Struthio camelus: one gene and its partners. The protein of the gene in region 3 interacts with the protein of the main gene of each other region in a biochemical or structural test. Links are inferred from orthologs where the notes say so. Each region holds a gene or a part of one and is shown on either strand. Other genes may lie near its edges. The genes, in order: HOXB1, PKNOX1 and PBX1.

What was found.
Region 1: the proteins of PBX1 (region 3) and HOXB1 are reported together in a solved structure, tested with the Homo sapiens proteins (2 studies listed by BioGRID and IntAct, with this or other methods). The link is inferred for Struthio camelus from reciprocal best matches to the Homo sapiens genes PBX1 and HOXB1.
Region 2: the proteins of PBX1 (region 3) and PKNOX1 form a complex in vitro, tested with the Homo sapiens proteins (2 studies listed by BioGRID). The link is inferred for Struthio camelus from reciprocal best matches to the Homo sapiens genes PBX1 and PKNOX1.

Annotation. Positions count from the first base shown.
Region 1 is NC_090966.1:5,489,011-5,496,259, forward strand, and holds the start of HOXB1 (homeobox protein Hox-B1), read left to right. Parts: upstream 1-4,228; 5' UTR 4,229-4,413; coding exon 4,414-5,026; intron 5,027-5,745; coding exon 5,746-6,071; 3' UTR 6,072-7,249. UniProt on the Homo sapiens protein: Sequence-specific transcription factor which is part of a developmental regulatory system that provides cells with specific positional identities on the anterior-posterior axis. Acts on the anterior body structures.
Region 2 is NC_090942.1:125,189,738-125,197,166, reverse strand, and holds the start of PKNOX1 (homeobox protein PKNOX1), read right to left. Parts: upstream 3,102-7,429; 5' UTR 2,958-3,101; intron 1,803-2,957; exon of another isoform or gene 1,672-1,802; intron 1-1,671. UniProt on the Homo sapiens protein: Activates transcription in the presence of PBX1A and HOXA1.
Region 3 is NC_090949.1:7,807,011-7,814,425, reverse strand, and holds the start of PBX1 (pre-B-cell leukemia transcription factor 1), read right to left. Parts: upstream 3,038-7,415; 5' UTR 2,699-3,037; coding exon 2,508-2,698; intron 1-2,507. UniProt on the Homo sapiens protein: Transcription factor which binds the DNA sequence 5'-TGATTGAT-3' as part of a heterodimer with HOX proteins such as HOXA1, HOXA5, HOXB7 and HOXB8. Binds to the DNA sequence 5'-TGATTGAC-3' in complex with a nuclear factor which is not a class I HOX protein.

The DNA of each region.
Region 1 (7,249 bases), on a different chromosome or scaffold from region 3:
TGCAAACTTCTCTGACAACTTCTAAGGACAAGTCCTTTTTGGCGATAACGAAGTCCACAGCCAAACACACATCCCAAGCGTCAGCAGTGCTACTTATAAATCACCCCGCGAGGAGCCAGAAGTGACATTTCGTACGCACGACACAACTTTCTCTGCAGAGAGTTATATTTAGCTCGAAAATGAAACATCGAAGACTCTGTCTGAGCGCTCTGGAGTCTTGGAAATGCTTAATTTTCGTCTGTGTCTCCTGCACAGAAAATTCTCCGGTCTGTCTTGGATGAAGATTTGCTACAAGAGGTGTTCCCACAAAGCATCTTCCGAGGGGCCTTATCCTACATGTCAAGAAAGTTGTTTCTGGGCAAACAAGCCATCTCTTAGGAAAGGGCGAAAGCTCTCCTTGCCCTCCCCCCAGCCTGCTGCAGCACCGAGTTTCATGGGTCTATTTTTTGTCTCTAAAAGGGAGGATCCACTCTCAGCAAAATGTTTACTTCAAAAAGATGTCTTCAACGGGACTGGAGAGAATAAAGGCGTGGTTTTCTCTAGAGAACCAAAAGCAGTATCCCTGCTAATTTAATAGTGAGAGGGAGTGGGTGCTTTCATCATGGGAAATGCATTAGATGAATGACGGCTGATGAAATGCCTAGGTTTCGTTACGGCACATGTTGGGCCGCCCCTGCTTCGGGGTAGACGGAGCTGCCGAGGCGCATGGGTGTGTTTCGGGCAGAAGGCGCGCTCCCGCCAGCACCAGCTCCGCAGTGCCGGCAGCCGGGCGGAAAAACCGCTTATTCCGCTGGTCACCTCCTCATTCCTATCCGCTCGTCACATAAAGTCTGGGTTTTAGGCCAATAACTCCTGAAGTGCATTAGGCCTGCAGTCCTGCATTACCTCATGGGGAATAGGAAACCAAGCTCAGGAAAGCAGCTCTTTTCTGGGGAGGGCTAGACACTTAACGCCATGCAAGAAATCTGACCCAGCAAGCAACAAAGTGACTTCCTCTTCCTCTCATTGACCAACCTACTACTCTCCTGGCCAGCACAGATTCTTTTCCCAGGAACCAAGAGCTAAAAATTCCCCGCTCCTCTTTATCTTCAGCCATCTCCGTATATTCTATTTTAATCTCGTTGAGTGAAAGAGAGCATCATCCCCCAAACGGCGCCTTTTGTGCTTTAGGGGGTAGGAACAATTACTGCCGCCACTGTTTCCCACAATAAATAAGTGAAAATTAAGCAATAAATATAATGAAAGGGTAATGGCTAATTAAATATATTCGGGGGGAGGAGAAGGGAAGGACAGAGGTCTGTGAAGCTGAGAGTCTCCACTTACACCTTTTCTTATGTTATTTTGATCACCTCCTCTCTCAACTGGCCGTAATGGGTGTTTTAAAGAAATAAATATGTAAATAATAGAACTAGGTTCACCAGGAGATTGGTTACCAATAATCTGATATTTCCTTTTCCTGCAAGTTCTGAAGCTCTGTACCGAAAATGGGTCTCACATCGCCTCCACGAGAGGAATTAAAAACAATAATAATAACAGCAGCAGTTTTATATTGGATCAAAGGAAAGGAGCTAAGAACAAAATTTGGAAAAACGATTCCCAAGGGCAGCCTGCATGCACTTTGACGCTGGGGCTTTTGAAAATACGGCGAAGCAGCCACAGGTCATGCACCACTTCTGGGAGAGCAGCCGGGCGCTGAGCGCTATTGGGGCCGAACGACGGGCGCCTCCGCCTGCTTCGCCGGGACGACTCGGTAGCCCCGGGCGCGGAGCTGTGGCCAGCGGCCGCCGGTAGCCTCCGGGCCGGGGCGCTCCGCGGAGACTCCGAGATGCCGGTTTGGCCCCCGGCATCTCCCCGCCCCGCGCAAGGCAGAGTCGGGGCGCGGGGGGAGCCAGCACCTTTCATTTGTCATTCCTTCTCCCTTCCCCCCCTCCTCCCGGATACGTGCCCAGGTCTTTTGCTGCCTTGGCTGCCGCCAGCAGGTAAGGAATGAGGGGCCTTGCCCGGCCGAGTGGAGCAGATGGCAAACGGCCACCAGTGCCAGGGCAGCACTGGCAACGCAGCGTCCCCTTGCTGGGAGAAAATCAGCTCACAGCCCGTCTTTCGTGATTAGGTACCTCCAAAGAGGCTCCTCCAGCCTCTGCCAAAGTCCCTTCACCTCCACGCCTGTCTGTCCTACCAGCATCTTCACTTTCATGTACTCGTCTCACCAATACCTTCACTTTCCCCGAATAAGCTAGGATTTGGAGTAGTTCCCAGGAGTCCAAGGACCATATGTCATCCTCCACTCAGGTCCGAGTATTTGGTGTATTTCATGGCTAGCATTTTGACTGCATCCTGTCTGATTTGTCTGGCCACCAAAGAAACTCTGCTTTCATGCCAAAACTGCCTCAGGTCTAAGGTTTGGCTTAGGCTTCACTGAGGGAAGTTTCATAGCAAAACTTTTGCCTCCATAACTGCAGTAGTGAGCTCTCTTGGAGCTAATTTTGAAACTCCAGAAGACAGCTGTATTTTAATGACATAAAGCATCCCCTTAATGTAACACTAGAGTGAGATCATGGTGGAAAATTATCAGACAATACGAAACAATTGGTTCAAGGCTGAAATAAACATCTATCCTTTTCTTTTTTCATTTTAAATCCATAAATCATCTATTGTAAGCATCGTTTAAATATACTACATTCAATTTAAACGTGAACGCAACATAGTATAAAAAGCACTCCTGGAATCAAATTAGAAACCAATTTCTCTTACAACATGATAGTTGACTTGAATCTTTATAATCGCTTTCGGTTGTTTTATGCAGAAAAGGTTGTAGTGAGTTTCAGAGAGCATTTGTAACCTCAAATATTTGCTTCTTGAATATTTCAGCATCAGCAGAGTTTACAGAATAAATGAATAAATAGCCATGCAGCATTGGCAATAACTTTCTCTTTATTCTTTGTATTGAAGGAAAAGAAATGTAGCTGGCTAAAACTCACTTTTTCTCTCGAAGGGATTTAAAGGCTGGAGGAGGGTTAATGCCACGGCTGCATGGATTGCATTTTTTTAAACAAATGTTACCCCAACGTGTTGCATCAGCCAAACTCCTGAACTAGAGAATATGTTTATGCCTTTCAAAGTGAACTTTTGGCCTGAAAAAAGAAACCCTCCTGGTTCTTCTTAAAGGCTGAATAACCAGTAAATATTCTGACAAGTAACAAATGACTGTGGGCGTCATATTGTTGGGTGCTCTTGTCTCCCCTCTGCTAACAAGTAAATAAATGTTGCCTACCTATGTTTCCATTCTAAGAGCAGCGGAGTGGCCAGCCTGAAGTCAGTGTCTTTCCACCTACTCATCAGCTGGACTCTGCTAGAGGAAAATTACAGTCTTACAATAGATTCAGGAAAAGATCAAACCAAATTTGTAACTGAAAAGCAGAGCTTAAGGTCCGAGCATTAGTCAAAGCCCTTAAAAACATCTATTGTTTTCAATAATAAATACATAGATAGGTAGGCACATGGATGAGTGGATGGATAAACAGACATATGAGTTGACAGACACATAGATAATTTTTAGTTCCATTCCTCCTATTACTAAGCTGTGCATGGTATTTCTCCAACAAAAGACGTTCTGTCTTCCTAACTTTATTTCATTGCCTCATTAGAATATTGATTTAATTACATTGCTTTTACCCACACTGGCTCTAGACACAAAGCCGGTGTGGCAAAATTAAAACATATGGAGCATTTTTTTTAATTAGGAGCTTCTTGTAGACTTCTTAGCCCAGAAAACTCCAAACATTTTCAAGCCACTTTTCAGGGAAAGTTTCCAAATGAAGAAAAGGGCATCTTTTTGTAGTTGGGGAAAAAAACCCATCTCCCTATGTCTTTCTCTGTCTTTTATTTATTTATTTATTTTCAGATGGAGCTAGGATTGGGGGAAAAACCTTTTTAAGTTGGGGGAAGGGGAAGTTCTGATGAAATTGGTTGCTCGTATAACTTGGGGGCTTCTTTAGCACTTAAAACAGTCGTGGATAATTGTAATTCTTCCCCTAGTCCCCTCTTCCCTTCCACCTCCCCGCACCCCACCTCCCTTCTCTCTTTTAAAGTCTTTGAGGAAAGATTTTGACGTATTCGTGTTGTTATCAGATTGATGGGCAGGGTTTGATTGAAACCCCTTTGTCATGCAAATGTCAGGGCCTTGATGGATGAGCTCAGATATCTGACAAACTTCAGGAGCTCCTCGCTCATTGGGCTCGGAGCGGACCACGTGGCCTCCGCCCCTGCCCCCAGCCCAAACCCTGCCGAAGGCTCCGGGCTTCGAGGGCTAGCGATGCATGGAAGGAAGTTTTACAGCTTTGACATACTATCTAAAGGTTGTAGGGCAGGCGGAATCCCCCCCAAAACAGGCTGACCCTCCTCCATCAGTGGCAGATGGACAATACTAGGATGAACTCCTTCTTAGAGTATGCAATTTGTAACCGTGGGACGGGCGCCTACCATCATTTAGAGCAGAGCTCCCCTTCCTTCCCCTCTTGCTCAGGTAGCCCTGCCAGTGACACTTTTAACGGAGACGGGCGCTTTGGCGTAGGAGGAAGCACGGCCGCGGCTGCCCTTCTCCCCCAGCAGAGCCCCAGCTACCACCCGCCCTCCTCCGGGCGCACCGTCCCCTTCGCGGGCGCTGCCCCAGCCTCCGGGTACCCAGCCCAGACCTGCAGCCCCGGCTACGGGCATCACCAGCTCTACCTCGGCCAGCAGGATGCGGATGGCGCGTACTTCCAAGCGCCGGGGTACTCCGCCAGCGCGGGATCCACCCTCAGCTCCCTAGCAGAGGGCTACTGCGGGGCGGTGGCTGCCGCTGGACAGTACCAGCAACAACACCTTTACGGGCAGGAACAGCCCGGCTATTTGCCCGCGGTTTACAGCAGTCTTTCGCCTTCTCTAAATGAGGACAAAGACCCTGCGTGCCCCTCTGAGCCATGCCCCAACTCCAGCGCCACGCTGACTTTCGACTGGATGAAAGTGAAGAGGAACCCGCCCAAAACAGGTGAGTCTGGCGAGCGCAGAGCTTTGCGAGGATGGGTCCCCTCCGGGGGAGGGAGAAGAAAGACAGGGGGGCAGCTGTGCAGCCTTGCTAGTAAAGGCTGCCTTCCCTGGGGCTGGTACTCAAGGCTCATCTTCCAGGGGAACATGGATTCATTCTCATTTAAACACCAGCTCAGCGCTGCAGAAAAGCCAGCTAGAGATATTCCAGACGCATCTGGTGGAGAGTCCCTGAACTCACTTCCCCATAGGCCCAATGCGATTTAAGCTCAGCTCGGAATAGGAAACGCTCCAGGCTTCCTGCTTCTTCCACAGTTGTGGCGTCCATCTCCCCCATTGTTCAACTTCCTTCTCTACTTTCTTCTTTAAATTTCAGTCTGCTCTCCTCCCCTCATCATCGCCCTCCCCTTCCAGTCCTTCCCACGCACGTTCAAGTTTCATGGCAGTTTGCAGGAAAAACGGGGGGACAGTTGCAAAGGAAGGGGGCAGCTTGGCAGAGCCTGGGACTATCTGTCCCTCGAGGTGATATCCCTGGGCTGGGAAGCCAAGGATAGCTCAGGCTCCGGGAGAAAGGACCAAGCTGCGGGTGGTAGAGGGACCAAATGCCCCGGAAACTGGGGGAGCGGGGGAGAGCCCGCTTAATCAGGCACCCACAGTGTCCCCGGCCCTAGGGAGGGAATTGCTTTGGCTGCTCTTACCCTGTTGATGTTTGCTTTTTAACAGCTAAAGTGTCGGAGTACGGACTGCTGGGCCAGCCCAACACCATCCGCACCAATTTCACCACCAAGCAGCTGACAGAGCTGGAGAAAGAGTTTCACTTTAACAAGTATCTCACCCGGGCCCGAAGGGTGGAGATCGCTGCTACCCTGGAGCTCAACGAAACCCAGGTGAAGATCTGGTTCCAGAACAGGCGGATGAAGCAGAAGAAGAGGGAAAAGGAAGGTCTAGCCCCGGTTGCTGCTTCCAGGTCTGCGAAGGAAGCAAACGAAGCATCGGATCAGTCCAACTGCACCTCACCTGAGGCTTCCCCCAGTTCGGTATCTTCCTGAAATACGTCCCTCCAGGGGCACAGCGATCAACTCGGGTCTGCTCTGGCGGGGCAGCTGCTCCTGGCAGCCCCGAACAGACGCACACGCACGAACACGCGCCTCCCATGCACAGCCCCGTCCACACACACGCACGAGCAGAGCGGGCACATCCACCCGCGCGGAAGCAGGATACACGTCCCCTCTGAGCAGTCCCTTTGGCTAGAGTCGTCTCCACACGTGCGATATTAATTCTCCTGCTTGCATTTCTCTCTCTTAATTTATAGACCCGCTGTAAAACACTGGACTCCAAAGGAGCAGCCGTGTCCTCATATATTCTTAGCAATAGCCATTTGTCTCAGGGATGTTTCTCCCTCTCCCTTTCCCTTCTCCTTCCCCAATAGGAACTGCACTTTCAACTACAGAAACTTTAAAACGAATTTAGTTCTCTCCTGTTTTTAAAATGTGCACAATGACTTTTGTCTGCAAGAATCCTACATTTGATGTATTTTGTCCTCCCTATGAGAGTGTAAAAAGTTTTGGGCATATTTTGTTTCTCTTTTATTTACTCTTTGTATATCTTGGAATGAGATCTGACATCCAAATGCTAGAGGCCTCTGGAAAGATACAAACAAATACAAGTCAAAAATGCAACTCCTCTTCTATCATTTTGCACTATTACTGCTTTACAGGGTTCTGCACACTCTTCGACTATGATTGTTACTAGTCCTGGGGGAGGGAGGGTTATGCTATCAGAGAAAACGAGATTAGGAGAAGGCTGACCTCGGGGTACTTTGGGCAACGGTCATTGTCGTACGAGGTGTGAATGTGCACGGGAACAAGGCTGCGGAGTGGTACCTCAGCTCTTGACTCCCTCAAGACACTGATGGACTGACTGGTATTTATGGTGTGTGTCGATAGCCTGAAGTCTTGAAACGAAGTAGCAGGGTTCCTTGTAAACCGCCCCCCCTCCTTTAGGCTTATTGAAGTCCGATAAAAACGTTATTGAACCATGATTAGTTGTTTCCCTTCCCTACGAGAAATTTTAGCGTAGAACGAAATGAAAATCACGGAAACTGTCGTTAAAAAGTGCTTCGAAGAGAAAAACGACATCGAGAAAAACTAGCGATTTCTTAATCGGATTCTCCCGTTTCGTCTCCGCTCCCTTTCCCGTGCTCTGTACTTTGAAATGAAACTACCTC
Region 2 (7,429 bases), on a different chromosome or scaffold from region 3:
AAGACCCACTTCACCTATATCTACTCAATTTGTAGAGACAAAAACACACAAGCCCAGATAAAAAAAATGCATGCCTCCTCTTCCCAAAAATCACTCAGCAGGTCAATGACAATGAATAAAATCAGTCTTTCAAGTCTCAGTGCAGCGTAATATTCTCTAAACCACACTGCATTTCTCTTGCAAATGAAGTAAACGGAGTTATGCCTCCAGCCATTCACACAATTGAAGCTTATGTTAAGAAATCATCGCAAAATCTACACTGAAGTTTTCACGTGGATACTTTAATCGTAAGATGACAAGAAAATGCATAAAGCTAAAGCAGTCTACAATGAAAATATATACTTATTTGTACAGATTTAAAAAAAGAGACTTAAAAGTGTGCAACTGCTCCTTCAGACTGACTACATGTGAATTTTTTGTTTCTTTTCTCAAAAGTTTTTGAAAATTTAAATTTAATTACATGGCCAGGCATAGATTCAGGAAAGGATAATTCTGCAACGTTATATTTATTTTATGGAGCCATTTAGAAAATGCACTCAAAACACATTTGTTGTTGCTTTATATTCCAGTAATGACAAACTCTGCAAACGCATAGTAAGATTTCCGATCTGATCACAACAATTTGCTTCCTGTTTCAGTATAATCCATAAAATGTGTACATGTAGCTAACATGGACTAACCAGGATCTATTCTGAAACAGGATCTCAGTGCTTGCCTATGGCCAGAAGCTCCATCACTTTAACTACACATGCATAATTATGGTAATGCAATACTATGGTATAGGCACATCGTAGACAGTTTATATCCCACGCAGGAAAGGGAAAGATCTTATGAGCCTATTCATAGTGTGGACAACAGTGAGATACATGTATTTATTGAGCTAGAGTCATAACAGTTCCCCTAATCAAGAAAACAACACTGGTAAAAATTTGTGCAGAGCATTTTCTTTCCCCAGAAGAATGTTATAAACAGCATTATGAACTGGCACATCGTAAAGTGGTATGATTTTGTAAAGATTAAGAAAGAAGTCTTTAAGCAGATGAGAGGTTTAGCATACACGAATGAAAACTTCCTAAACCCTCCCCCTATTCTCCACAAAATGCTGGCTCAAGTGATCTTAAACGTCTGCAAACCGGAACATATGGTCTATGCTCTCTATTTCAGTGTCATATTTAACGGAACACACACACGGTTATTTCATATAGGGACAAGGACAAAAATTAATCTTGCCTGGACAGCACTCAACTACTTATGCCAAACAAGTAATTCATAGCATAGCAAAAAATAATTTATAAGGGTATCTAACCAGATGTAGAGATTCATTATCCTTCCCAAAATGACATTAGTCATTTACTTAGATATAACTGACAAAAAAGGGGTCACCAACTGCAGCTAAGAATACTGTTGTCTCTAAAATGACATGGCATGTTCCCATTTAGGACAAAAAAAAAAAAAGAAATATTAAACAAGACACAGATAAACTTTGGCAGAGAAGTATCACACAGAAGTGTTAACCACTTATAGTTTTAATTGATGAACTCTAGGCCATACAGCTGGTGTTATGGGAACGAGGGAATGCTATCGACTCCTCCATGGAGACCCAGGACATGTGGCTAATTGAGACAATATTTCAGGATAAAACCAGTACTTGATTTATTATTGTTTACACACATCATAAGTGGGGCCTCTGGGCAATGTCAAGTTTCAGCTCCTAATTGCGGCTGTGTAAACACTCAGGAAGCCTCGGTCTAGGTGTCAAGAAGCTTCTACTCACAACAGAGCCAAGAAACAATGAGGTCATATCAAAAATTAAAAAAAAAAAAAAAAACAGAAGAAGAAACCACCACCTCACGCTAACACTGCACACACACTGCCCCAAGTGCCTACCACTATCATAATTTGCTTTCTATGAATTTGGGGGGGGGGGGGGGGGTTGGGGAAGCAAAACCAGAGACGCGCCAGCACCGGCTCTCCCAGGGGGCCGCGCCGCCCGCGACCGCGGGGCAGGGGTGCACCGCCCCAGCCCCGCCGGCGCCCCGGGGCCGAGGCCGCGACCGCGTGCGTTGCGCAGGGCATGGGGTCCGCGCGCGGCAGCGGCCGTTGGCAGCCCCCTCCGCGCCCCCCCCCCCCAGGCCGCACCCGTCCAGGCCGCGGCGATGGCTGCGCGCCCGCGCCGGGGCCGGGGCAGGTGCGGAGGGGAGGCGACGGCAGCAGCTGCCGCCACGGCTTTATTCCCCCTCCCACAGGCGAGGGCTTCGCGAGCTGCGTTGGGCTCCTCAGGGCAGGGACAGGTCGGCGGGGTCCTGGCTAAACCGCGGGCCGGAGGGGGAAGACGGGGGAAGACGAGGGCAAAGAGGGCTGCGAGGAGTCACCGCTGCCACCATCACCTACTCTGGGCACCCCCCCCCCCCCCGCCCCCTCCACGGGAAGGCCTCCGAGCAGCGCCGCTGGCCCTTTAAATATCGCGCCGGCTCCCCCGCCCCCCCTCCCGTCGCCCCCTTCCCGCCCCCTTTCCCGCCGCCGCGGCCCCTCCGCGCGGCGCCCAACAGCTGTCTCGCTCTCGGCGCTCCCTCTCGCCGCGGCTCCCTCCCTCCCTCCGCCCGCCCGCGCGCGCTCCCCGCCGCGCCCGGCCCGCGGCGCGTGCGCGCCCCCGCCCGCGCGCCCACAAAGACAACGGTTAGACGGCGGCTGTTCCAGAAATTTCCTCGCTCCCCCCCCTCCCTCCCTCCCTCCCCTTCCCGCGCCTGCCCGCCACCGCCCCTAACCCCCCTCTGGGTTAGTTACAGTGCGGGTGCCCCCCCGCTCCCCGCTGTTCCGTGTGCCGGGCTCGGCCTCCCCCCCACCCCCCCATCCCCGGTCTGGTTGTGCGCCTGGGCCCGGCCGGCCGGCGGCGGCGGGCGCGCCGTGATGGATGGCTGGCTGGCTGGCTGGGAGCGGGTTTGAGTGACAGCGCTTACCTGGGTGCCAATCTTCGTCACACTGACAAGCGGCTGCAGCAATCGGGACCCGCACCGCCGCGACACGCGTCACCGCGCACACACGCACTCGGCCAATCGCCGGCCGCGCCACCCGACACGACACCACGCCGCGCATCACGCCTCATCAATATTCACCGCGCGGGGCGGGGCACGCGCCGGCGCGGGGCACGCCCACCGCGGCGCCCGCTGTGGCGGCGGGGCGGGGCGGCCGCACGCCACCGCCCTACGCCGGCGCGCCCGGGCTCACACCTCATGAATATGCACGAAGGGGGCGGGGGATCCCGAGCGGGCCCTGCCACGCCCCTCCCCCGGGTCCGGGGTTGGGGGGGGGGAGGTGAAACCACCTTCTTGAAGAGGGGGGAGGAGGTAGAGACCAAGTGGCGCGGAGGCTGGGGAGGCGACAGCCGTGGCGGGGAGCGCCTGCCGCCCGCCTCCCCGGCCCGGGCCGCAGCACCCCCTCAGCGCCCCACCGGCCCCCGGCGGGGGTGCCCCTACCCCCCCGGAGCGGGGAGTGCTGGCCCCCGGGCGGGGGGGGGGAAGGAAGGACACGGGCGGGGAGCCCGGGGCCCGTGGCGCGTGGGCCCGCACCGCCGGCGTGCGGTGGTGCCCGGCCTCGGCCACCCGGGCCTTAGGCCGCCCTGCCGGCGGGGGGGGCCGGGGGCCCAGCCCGGGGAGCGAGGCGCAGGGTGAGGGGGAGCCCCCGGCCGCCCCGGCGGGCGGCTCCGCGGGCACGGACCGGACAGCCTCGGAGACCCGCGCCAGAGCCCTTGTCTAGGGACCAGGAGCGAGGTTTTCCCCCGCGCTGGCGGTTGGCGGCAGGGCAGCAGTTGGTGCCTCCAAGCCAAGAGCTGGCGTCGCTCGGGGAGCGCAGGAACATGCTCGATCCCAGCTGATATTTAGCAGAACCAGTGTTTTGCATTCAGAGGAGAGAGGTCCTGCACCTGTCTGTTAGCCGGGGCGAGCGCCCAGGCGGTCCCGGAGGGACCTTGTCCCGTCTGCTTTGGGCAAGGATGGCCCTGCGTGGCTCCCGTGTTAGCCCAGCCCTGGCCTTGGCGACTTGAGAGATCCCTTGCACCGGCTAGGATCCTAAAACATGCTCCTTCCTGCCCTCCCACCTGCTCCCATGTTTCGTCCTACACCTCCGGAGCCAGCACATGCCCAGGACCGCAGGATCCTGCCCGTGGTCCTGACCGCCATCAGGAAATAGTAAAGGAGAAGGTGCTGGTCACAGATCTCTTTCTTGTACTGCAGTTGTGTGTCCTTTCTCTGTTTGCAAAAAAAGCAGCACTCTGCCGTAGCCTTTCCTTCCCCTTTCACCCCCACTGAGTGTGTTCACCTAAACTGTTATTAAGTAAGCAGTACGATGAACAGGAGAATTAGGCGAGTGTGATTTGTGACTTGTTACTTGCCTCATGGCTGTATGATTTTGTCACTGGGACATTTAGAGAGCTTCCCTGCTTGTAGATTCTGTAGTGTGTAAAAGGGCTTGCATTTACATCTTTCAGTGGGTTCACTGAGATGATCTCTTTGCTCCTCGTTCTCATGACACTGGAAGGAACCTTCACATCTTAGTAGTCTCGCCCTCTCTGCCAAGCAGGCTTTGAGGGCCAAAGCTATCCTGGGCATGCAGGAACTGATACACAGAAAGTCTCATCTCCTTAGGAAACGCAGCTCAAAACAAAAATGGGGTTTGTTCCAGGTTTTGTAGCCCCTCTGCAGCATAGTAGCTGGAAATCTACCTGATTATCCTGTACCTCTACAAACTGGAATATGCCCTGCGTTTTTGAAGATCCATCCATGTTTTTCTGTTGGTTTAACAGTAGGAAGCCCTCCATTTTGTTTTATACAACACTTTGCAGCACCAGGCCACTTAAAGAAGATTTGGCTAATAGGCAATTAATAAAGAAGGTCTGGCTAATAGGCAATTAATATAACCAGCTAAATAAATGTTCCTGCAAGCCAGCTCTGTCTTCAGTCCTCTGAGCGTAACCATTATGTCAAGACCCTGCTTAGCTGGCTCTGGGTTTTCAGGAATCTAGTTGCTCTGTGCACACTGCCACCATTTCTCCAGTCACAAACAGTCCTTTCATCCTCTCACTGCACCACCTGGATCCTTTACAGGAGTTCATTTTCTAGCCATTTTTCCCCATACAGTCAGAACCACATGGATACAAGGCTTGTGAACATGAAGAAAACTTGCACATCTTGCAGGGAGACTAGGAAAGAGAATGAACTGTGCCAGTCCAAAGTGTTCAAATGTGTGAATCAGATCTGCAAGTTCCTGTGCATAACTTAAAAGAATAAACCCAAGATTTAAAAAAATAATACAACTCTTAGTTTGTCTTGCTCACAAGATTCTGTTTCTGCTCTCGCACTATATAACATCTCTAATAGAATTCCTGTGGTCAAGCAGACTTCTTCTACCACCACTTTCTTCTCTCATTATCTCTGACACATTCGTTAATGACACATTCACTAAACAGTTCTTCAAATTAACTGGTTCCCATGCCCAGACCTGCCTCTTCCTCAGATTTGATTCACCTCGCAAACCCTTTGTTCTCCTTCTGCCTTGCCTGCACTTCTTTGGACAGGAGTTCAGTGATTTTCTCTGAAAAAGAACAGCTTAAATTCAAACTAATTTAGTTCCTGTTCAATCCCTTCTCCCAGTTATCCTCACAGCCTTTCTGGATGCCTTTCCCAACTTGAATTTTTCTTTCTCCTTTGCTTAGTTTTGATTTTCCTTCTTTGTTTCCTGTCACTTTCTCTTCCTCAACTCCTTCCCTTCCAACAGGGGCAGAAATTTCTCCTCTGCTGCCTTCCCCTTGCCCGAGTAATCCCGCTTCTTGGTCTGCTTTGAAATTAAGCTAATTTCCATCCTTTTTCTCCTCCGTCTTTTACTCTCTTCGTAATATAAATATGTTCTAGCTTCCTCAGTCTTAAAGCATGTGATTCCCAAGCACTGGGATTAAGAAATCCTAGCTTCCTACTGAGTTGTGGCTCATGGTTGATTAACTTGGGGGTCTAAGGAGGTGCAAGCTTTGACTGAAACTTCTTCTGAAGTTTTGGTATCCATAAGGGGTCTGTTCAGTCAGTGAACTCTCTGTTGCCTAAAAGCTCATGCGTGTTCCATCATTCAGGGAGTGCATGATGCCTCTTCCCTACCTGACTAGGTTTCATGAAAGTTATAGGAACTAAATTATTTTTGAAAATTTTAATCCTCTCTCCTATGGTACTGAAGTAAGTCACTAGGTTCAAATGTGATTAAATCCCATGGTATACCCTACATGACATGACCACATACGCCTTGTTCCCTTAGAAAAGCAACGTAAAAATCACCCTTGATCCAACTTGTGCCTTCCAGCTGCCCATCTCTAAATTCACTGAATGCAGTGTACATAACCACTGTCAAGAGTTCCTTGTTTCTCATTTTATTTTCAGCTCTCCCTGATACATCCTCTGCAGGCTTGAAAGCTAAGAAGCTTGCTTTTAAAAAATATGATGGCTGAAATGACTCCAGGAGATAAAGATTTAAGAAAAGCACCAAAAGTTACAAGGCTTTTGTGAGAAGCTTGCAGCGCTCAGAAAATAGAAAGAACTGGGCGGAGAGGAGCAGGAAAAAAGAATGAAGAAGTAAATGAGAAAAATCGTACAAAGGAAAATAGGCAAACAAAAATGATCAGAGGAAAAGATAGGTACACCCTTCTGTTTCCAACTGTCCGAACACATTGTGTTGCCCCGCATCAGTTCTGCGAAAGGATCAGTGTCCAGTACAACAGATCCTTACAACAGAGGACTGAAGACAGCTAACAGGAGGGAATTCTCCACATTACACATTTTGTAAAGATTATTACACAACTGATACAGTTTTACACTATCAGTTTCCGTTGATATAGGTGTACTCACTTAAGAGGCAGTGATGAGATAGCTGCTTTTTTTCTAAAAAAAGCTCCCCAAAACTGCACGGAAAGGTGAATGAAATGCCTGCTTAATACTTTACAATTGTGAATTGCAAGTACTTCAAAAATGAGGTTCAGTAATATTTAGGTTTGCAACTGCAAATAATAAAATACTCAGATTCTCAAATTCCTGTTACATTATTCACATTGAACATATGAAATATCCTCATTAAGTACAGCTCATTATATAAAGCATGCACAGATATGTTTGCAGGGTCAGGGCCTTACTTGGCTACTACAACAGTCCCAAATACATAATAGAATACCTCACAGTTGGATCAAGTATTTGCAAACACTAAGCTATTAAAGTCCTGTCTCACCAAATGAGAAAAGCCACTCTTCCAAATCTGTTCTCTGAAATACACATTCAGTTGCAATTTACTGATAGAAGGATTGCATGAATGTCTTAGAGGGCAAAACTAGTTCATACATACAATTGCTAGATGAGTTAGAGTTTCTATGACATCCTTTAGCAATCTCCAAGTTCTAAATTTT
Region 3 (7,415 bases):
GCGCCGAGGCCGCCTGCCTCGCGGGGAACAGAGGAATTGTGCCAATTCAGAAACGGCCTGAAAACAGCATTTGCCACCAAGGGGCTTGCAGAGCCTCGCGGTCCAAGGCGGGCTACGCGCCGAGCCAAAGCCGGGGGCTTTGGGAAGCCGAGCTTGGTTTGACTCGCTTGTTCGAACACGGGCACGCACGGAGAGGGCTCCCTCCGTCTCCCACCTCCGATATTAAATTCGGCCATGTGCTTCCTTCAGTTCATCTGCAAGGCGGGGGGGGGGGGATGCCCCCCCTTTTCACAGGGCTGGAAACAGCCCCTGATTAGAGCTGTCAATTCTGGGAATTTCAGCGCCCAGCTCGGAGGACGGAAACGCACAGCCACAGGCACACGCGCGTCTGGAGGAAGAGCTGCATTTCCCCGCGCTCGTGCTACACCTCTCGCAGGCACCCAGCTTAGGGGCAGGTGTTAAAATTTAATTCTTTACAACTGGGACACCAAGCACGTTTAACAACGCAGCCAGATGCTTCTGGGGAAGGGGACAGTCCGACTCAATGTCTCTTGCTTTCGGTGGATGTTATTTAGGAGCTGGCCGTTCTTCCGTGGGTTTCGAGGAAAGAAGGGAGCTGCAGGGGGGAAAGGGGAGGGTTTTAATCTGATCGTTTTGAAACCCACCATGTGCCTGCTGAGGCAAAGAAACAGCATCTTTTTTTTTTTTTTTAAGCCATACGATCATTTTGCAGAGGGTCTAGCTGTATAAAGGGCTGCTCCTATCAGGCGCCACTTACGGCAATTCTGTTTACCAACCAAAATTACATGTGAAGACGATGTGAACATCTGGCAAACATTCACACTACTTACCCCACAACATGTTAAAGAGATTTATATGTGCACAGTGAAGCCTCTCAAAGGTATATACCCTGGTGGAACCACAGTGTCTCCTTATCAGCACACCCAGATGGGCACAGACACTTGGGTATAAACAAATCACGTACATAAGCTTTAGGGGCCCTCTTACAATTAATACCGGCACTTTGCATCTTCCCAAAACTTCACCAGCAAAAAAAAAAAAAAAAAAAAAAAGGCAGCAAAACCACCGTGCGATAGAGGGATGGATGCAGGAAACGTAAAGCCAAACATCACTGATAAATACTGCGCGTTTGGCAGCTCAAAAACAAAAGTGTGGAGGAAGCAGCTGAAATAGTCCAGCAAAGCAAAATCATAAAGCCTTCTTCTAGATCTGTTCTGGACTGGTTTTACTGATTTGATTAACTGCACTAAATTACTCACGCAGGAACACACAAAATTCCTGGCACTTTCAGGAGAAAGAGCCCTCGCTTCCCCCAGGCTGACCAGGGAGAGAGCGCAGTATTTCCTCCTCCTCCTAAGAGCTACTCTGTCCCTGCAAGAACACACAAGAATTAGTAAGCTCATCCCCATGAGCACCGTTTTCGGGAGCCGGGAGCTGCGCACCAGGCGGGAAGGCAGGGAGACGTGATGTAAACAGAGGTCTGGGGGCTGCTTCCAGCCCTCTGGAAGTTCTCGCAAAGGGAGTTGAGCGGGCTGCACGGTGCGTTTTTCCAGGAACAATGTATTCTAGCAATCTGTTCCAGTTCGGAGCATAAATGCCAGGGGGAACGACACCACACCTCACCGCTCGGCAGCGCAGAAGAAAATCCCAATGCACCCCAGAGCATTTGGGGCAACTTTTTTTTTTTTTTTTTGGAACTATGTCCTCAGTTTGGGGATTTTTTTTTTTTGCCCCCCCCCACCCCTAACTTTGGCTAGCGCCTTTGAAGGTGCGCGTCAGGCTTGCGCTCCTTGAAGCCACGGGCGGTTCGGGTGCCGGCTTTTGCAGCCTTTCTTCCTTAAACGCCTCTGCCTTTTTTTTTTTTTTTTTTTAAAGCCTCTACGTACGTCCTCCGAGCATAAAAACACGGCCTTAAAAATAACAACGCGGGGCCCCAAACGAGCATGGTTGGGAAAGGAAAAAAAAAAAAAAAGAAAGAAAGAAAGAAAAAGAAAAACCGCGTCCAAAGATGGAACAGCACTTCACGCGTTTTTCGGCGGCGTTCAAAACACATCGGTCTCCCCGCAAGCCCAGCACGGTTTTCCGCCCCCGCGGAGCCGGCGAGCTGCAAACCCGCAGGAAACTGGCCCAAAGTTGGGGGGGGGGGGGGGGGAGAAAAGAAAGGAAAAAAAAAAAAAGAAAGAAAAGCCCTCCTTTCCTTTCCCTCCCTCCCAAGTGGCCAATTTCTGGAAAAATAAGTCGTCGTCCCCCCCCCCCCCCCCCCGCGCCCTCCAGCCCGGCCTGTCCGTCCTGCCGGGAGCCGCCGCGGCTCCTCCGCAGGACAACAAAGACGGCGCCGGGGGCCGCGCAGGGCGCACAAAAGGCGGCGGCGGCCCCGGCCCCGGGCGGCCCCCGGGAAACTTCCCCGCCGCCGCCGCCGCCGCCCCGGCACCTGCCCCCGCGGGCAGGGCGCGCTGCCCCCCCCCCCCCCCCCCGGCGGCTCTCACCTGGCCTGCGCCTCGTCCAAACTCTGGTCCGTGATGGTCATGATCTGCTGTAAGATGTCTCCGATGTCCTGCTTCCTGCCGGCCTCCCCCTCCGCCCCGCCTGGTCCATCCTGCATGTGCTGGGACAGGCCCGGGTGGCCCGGCATCCCCACCCCGCTGTGCGTGTGCATCAGCCGCGGCTGGTCATCCATTTCCAGTCCCCGGCTCCCCTCGGCCGCCTCCCTGCCTGGCTCCCGGCGCGCCTGGGGCTGCGGCTGGGGCTCGCCGCCGCCGCGCTCGCTTTCTTTTCTTGCTCGCTTTCTTCTTCTTCTTCTTTCCTTCTCTTCCTTCTCCCCCCCCAACCGCCGCCCCCCCCCCCTCGCTTCTTCCTCAGCCTCTTCCTCTTTGCTTTTTATTTATCCTTCACGCTGGGCTTCCAGCTCCGCGGCGGGGAGGAAGAGGAGGAGGGAAAAATGGGAGAAAAAAAAAAAAAAGAGAGGAGCGAGAGAGAGAAAAGAAAGGGGGAAAAAAAATCCCTTTGGTTGCTGGAGGAGGGAGGGAGGGAGGGAGGGATGAAGGGAGGGAGAGAGGGAGGGGGTTCCGGGGAAGGGAGGGGAAACGGCGGCGACTCCAAAAGCAGGGCAGCTCAGCCCTGCCGCCCGGCAGCGGCGGCCGGGGGGCGGCCGGGCAGGCGGCGCCGGGCCGGGCCGGGGGGGGCAGCGGCAGCCGGGCCGCGGCGGCGGCGGGGCGGAGCGGAGCGGCCGCCGCGATGGCAGCGCCGAGCGCCCGGGGCCCGAGCGCCGCCGAGCCGGGCAGGCAGCGCGCACCGGGGGAGGGCTCCAAACTTTCCCTCCCCCGCCCCCCCGCCCGCCCACCCCAACCCTGCGGCCGGGCCGAACCGGGCTCGAGGCTCGCTCCTCTCCTCGGCTCCGCTCCGCGCCCGCCAGCGGGGCCTCCCCTCCGCCCCGGGCCTGCGCGCACCGGCTCCCCCCTCCCTCCCTCCCTCCCCTCCGGTGCTCGCCGCCTGCTTTTGTTCAGCTCCGGACTCCTCAAACTGGCACGGAGGAGCCCGAGGAGCAGGAAGGGAGGCGGGGGGCGGGGGGGGAAGGAAGGCCGGGGCCACCGCCGCTGCCGCCGCGGCTCCCCGCCCCCCCGGCGCCATTGGCGGCGGCGGCGGGAAGGGCGGCCCCGCCACGGCCGCGCCGCCCCCGCCGCGCCCGCCCGTCAATCTCCGGGTTCAGAGGTGGGCCGGGGCCGCGCCCCGCCCGCGCCTTAAAGCGGCCCCGGCCGCTGCTGCCGCTCCGCCCGCCGGGCTCCGCCGGCGGCGCCGCGGCCCTGCGCCTCCCCTCAGCGGCCTCCACGGCTCCCCGCCGCCGCCTCGGCTCCCCCCCCCCACCCCAGGAGGCCTCAGCCCCTCGCCTCCCCTCCGCCGCCCCACAGCTTCCCCTCCGCCGGCCTTCCCGCCTCCTCGGCCTCCCTTCGGCCCCGTCTCCCCTCAGCCAGCCGCCTCTGCCTTCCCCACCCCTGCCCGGTGAGGCGCGGGGCCTCTGCCCTCAGCCCACAGCGCTGCGGCCCCCAGGCCGCACCTTTGCCCCCCAGGCGCCAGCCGGGCTCCTTCCCTCTGGCCTCCGCTGCCGGCATTTCTTCACTGCGCCTTCTCTCTCTCCTTCCTCCTCCACTGACTGGGCTCCCGCACAGCCCCACGAGCGGGGCCTTTCCGGAGAGCCGGCTGTACCAGCGCACCCCGTCTCGCGCAGGCCGGCCGTGCCGCGTCCTGTGCGGGGAGCGGTGGGGACTGCCCTTAACGGAGAGGTTGAGGGGCTGGAGGGGGACGTTTGTCGGTTAAACCACAGTGGGTTTGTGGCCCCCAGGCTTGTTGCCGGGAGATCTCTGCCGGGGCTCTGTTTTGTCATCGATCCCTTTGCTCTCCTTCCACGGGAGGAAATGGGGTTGTGGTTTGCACGGTTTGGAGGAAGGAGCCCTGATTTGTCTGGAAATATTCACATGCCGAGGAGTTCCTCCAAGGCCTTCCAAAGAAGGTTGGGGAGGGATGAGGCAGACAAGCAAAACCCAGAAATGGAAGAGGGAGCCCCTGGGGATCCACCAGACTAGAAGATGGTGGTGTCAGATGTTTCCTCAACCCACACGCAGGCATCTTGTCTCCAACCATAGTGGGAGGAGTAGGCGTTCAGTGGCTGAGCAGGGACATGGGGACAAGGGGTGAGAACTAGGACAGGAGTAGGTGGGCGTTTGCTGGAGGAGCAGGACGCAGTGGGGTGAGGGTGGCTGGGCCAGGCAAGGGATATCCAGCTTCTCCTCACCTTCTTCCTCTGCTCTTCTTCCATGATCCACCACTCAGGTCCAGGGAAGAAAGGGCACCCACATATCGCTTATTTGGAGATATTCAAAAGCCATCTGGACACAATCCTATGCAATGTGCTCGAGGTGACCTTTCATGAGCAGAGGGGTTGGGCTAGTTGATCTCCAGAGGTCCCTTGCAACCCCAACGATTCTGTGATTCTGTGATTTATAGGCCTTCAGGGGGACGTCTGGGAGGAGGAGGAAGGTCAGGAAAGGCCACATCCCTTTGAAGCAAGCCCATCGATTTGCCATGTCCCTTACCCTTGAACACCAGCAGGACCCACACACCCACTACCACAACCACCACCACTGCTCCCAAGCTTGTTTTGGAGCCAGCGCTCTGCCCAACCAGTACGCCCTCTGAGCAGGGGAAGTTAGCAGAGGTCCTAAGGCCACGGTGACTGCCATTCAGATCTACATGGGTTGGTTACAGTGTCACAGCACTCAAGAAGTAAAGGACTTCTCCAGCCCCTTCCTGTGTTCCCCTGGATCTGAGACTGTCACCTGGCCAAAAAGACCTCTGTAGGCATTGGCAAGTGATGACCAGGGATGGCCTGAAGCTAAGGCTTGCCTGCAAACTTGTATTTTTAAGAAATAGAAAGTAGTTTTGGTGATCACAAGCATTTCCTGCTTGGAGGATGATTTCTTCAGATTGTCCCTTTCTCGGATCTGAGAGTTTCTAAGTTCCAGGTCCTTTGTAACGCAAGGGAAGAAAGGCCATGCCCTGTTCCTAATTGCAGCACAGGCTGAGGAAAGAGCCACCCAGTTCATTGGAAAGGAAAAATAAATAAATAAATAAATAAAGAAGCAATAGTTTTGCTTCCTCTCTTCTATTTTAATGAAACACTTTCCAATGTTTTAAGCAAAACATGACTTTTCATTTTGAAATTTCCTTTTGAACCATTAAAATGTTTTAAAGTGGTTGAAGCCAAAGTGAGATGTTTTGATTTTTGTCTCTGTGAAATGTTTCACTTAACACACGTTCTTTTTTTTCCCCTTGATTTGCCAAAATTTTCAAAGGTTTCTGTTTTCTCACCCCAAAAATATATCTATATATTTTTTACTTTTTTTGAAAGGGCCAAAAATGGGAGAAAATATCCATTATCTACATGGCTTCACAGGAAATGGAACTTAATCCAAGAAAAACGCATCAGCCAAGGGACTCCTCTCCGAAGTTCCAAACTTTCAGACACTTAGTCATCTCTTCACTCGCTTGCTCACACACCAAGTCTAGACATGTGTTGTCTAAAAATCTGGCAGGGACTGTCCCATCCCCAGAGGTCAGGACAGGGTCTTTCCTATTTGATCTTGAGCAGCTCCAAGGAGAGGAGCTGCAGCTGAGCTGAACACGGACTGCAGACTAGGGAGTGGTGTAGAGGGGAGGGACAGGCAGCGATGCCCCAGTGATGGCGGGGCCCACGGGATAGGGTGGCCTGCTGACCCCACAGACAAGTCCTTCCCCCCTTTCCCAAGTCACAATGCAATGCTTCTGGCTAATCAAGCCAATACCAGAGGACAGGAGCAGGAGGACACTACAGGTCAGCCAGCAGTGGTGGGGTATGAGGCATGCAAGGGGGCAAGTGCTGGAGATGAGCTGTCTGTGGGTCCAGGGTGGCCCCCCAGCGTTTCCCATGGAAAACGGAGAGTGACCCAGAAGGCGGTGAGTCCTACCACGAGGGAGGCTTTCCGGCAGGGGGCCCTTGGGGGAGCAATTGGGCAGGGCAGGAATGGCCAAGGCTCTGCCTCTGCTATCTACTGGAGTCTGTAAAATCCTTCTTGTTGGAGATAGCTAATCCTGGGCCTTTATAACGCCTCTCCTGAAAAAGCACGTTTCATTCCTCTGTCTCCTTCTGCCTTCCAAGTGCCTGAGATTGCAATAGGTATTACCCAAAATGTTCCCCATGGGAGCCGACACTGGACTCCCTTAAAACCCAAATACTGTCACCCCTCCTTCCCCACGATACAAGCAAACACTATGCTCTATTATCTCTACACTCACTAAATCTTTCTGAAATGAAGAATAAACATTTCCACCACACATAGTATAAGTGTATACGCCAAGCTGCATCGCTTCCTTTCCTCTGTGGTTATTATAAAGTGGTTTGTTTCAATGGTGAAGCAGATGGACGGATTCCAAGTCTGTCTTCCCCACTCCCTGTAAGTACGTCTAACGCTATCTTTGGTTGATCACAGATTCCTGAAGAAAATGTTTATGGGAGTCCCTTATTTAAAATCTTGGCTCCTTCTTAGCGTCATTCCTATTATTTATTAAATGAAAATCAAGCTGTTTTTAACGCATCATTACTGTGGCAAAGCGAAGCCCTCGAAAACGAAGGCCAAACGCGCTGTTTCTCTGAATGTCCATGAGCGTCTTCTCATAGGCTTGCGTCACTCATCCCAAGCGTGCAGTCATGGCCCCTGAGCGCTCGCGTCGTGACGGAACGGGAGCAAGTCCCCCGGCCTGCGGCTCCCTACACGTTTTCATTTTGGTGAAGGGAGGCCGAGTTCCACAGAATATTTTACTCTACTGTCCAAAATCTGAATGCCTGGAGATGGATTGTGTATAGA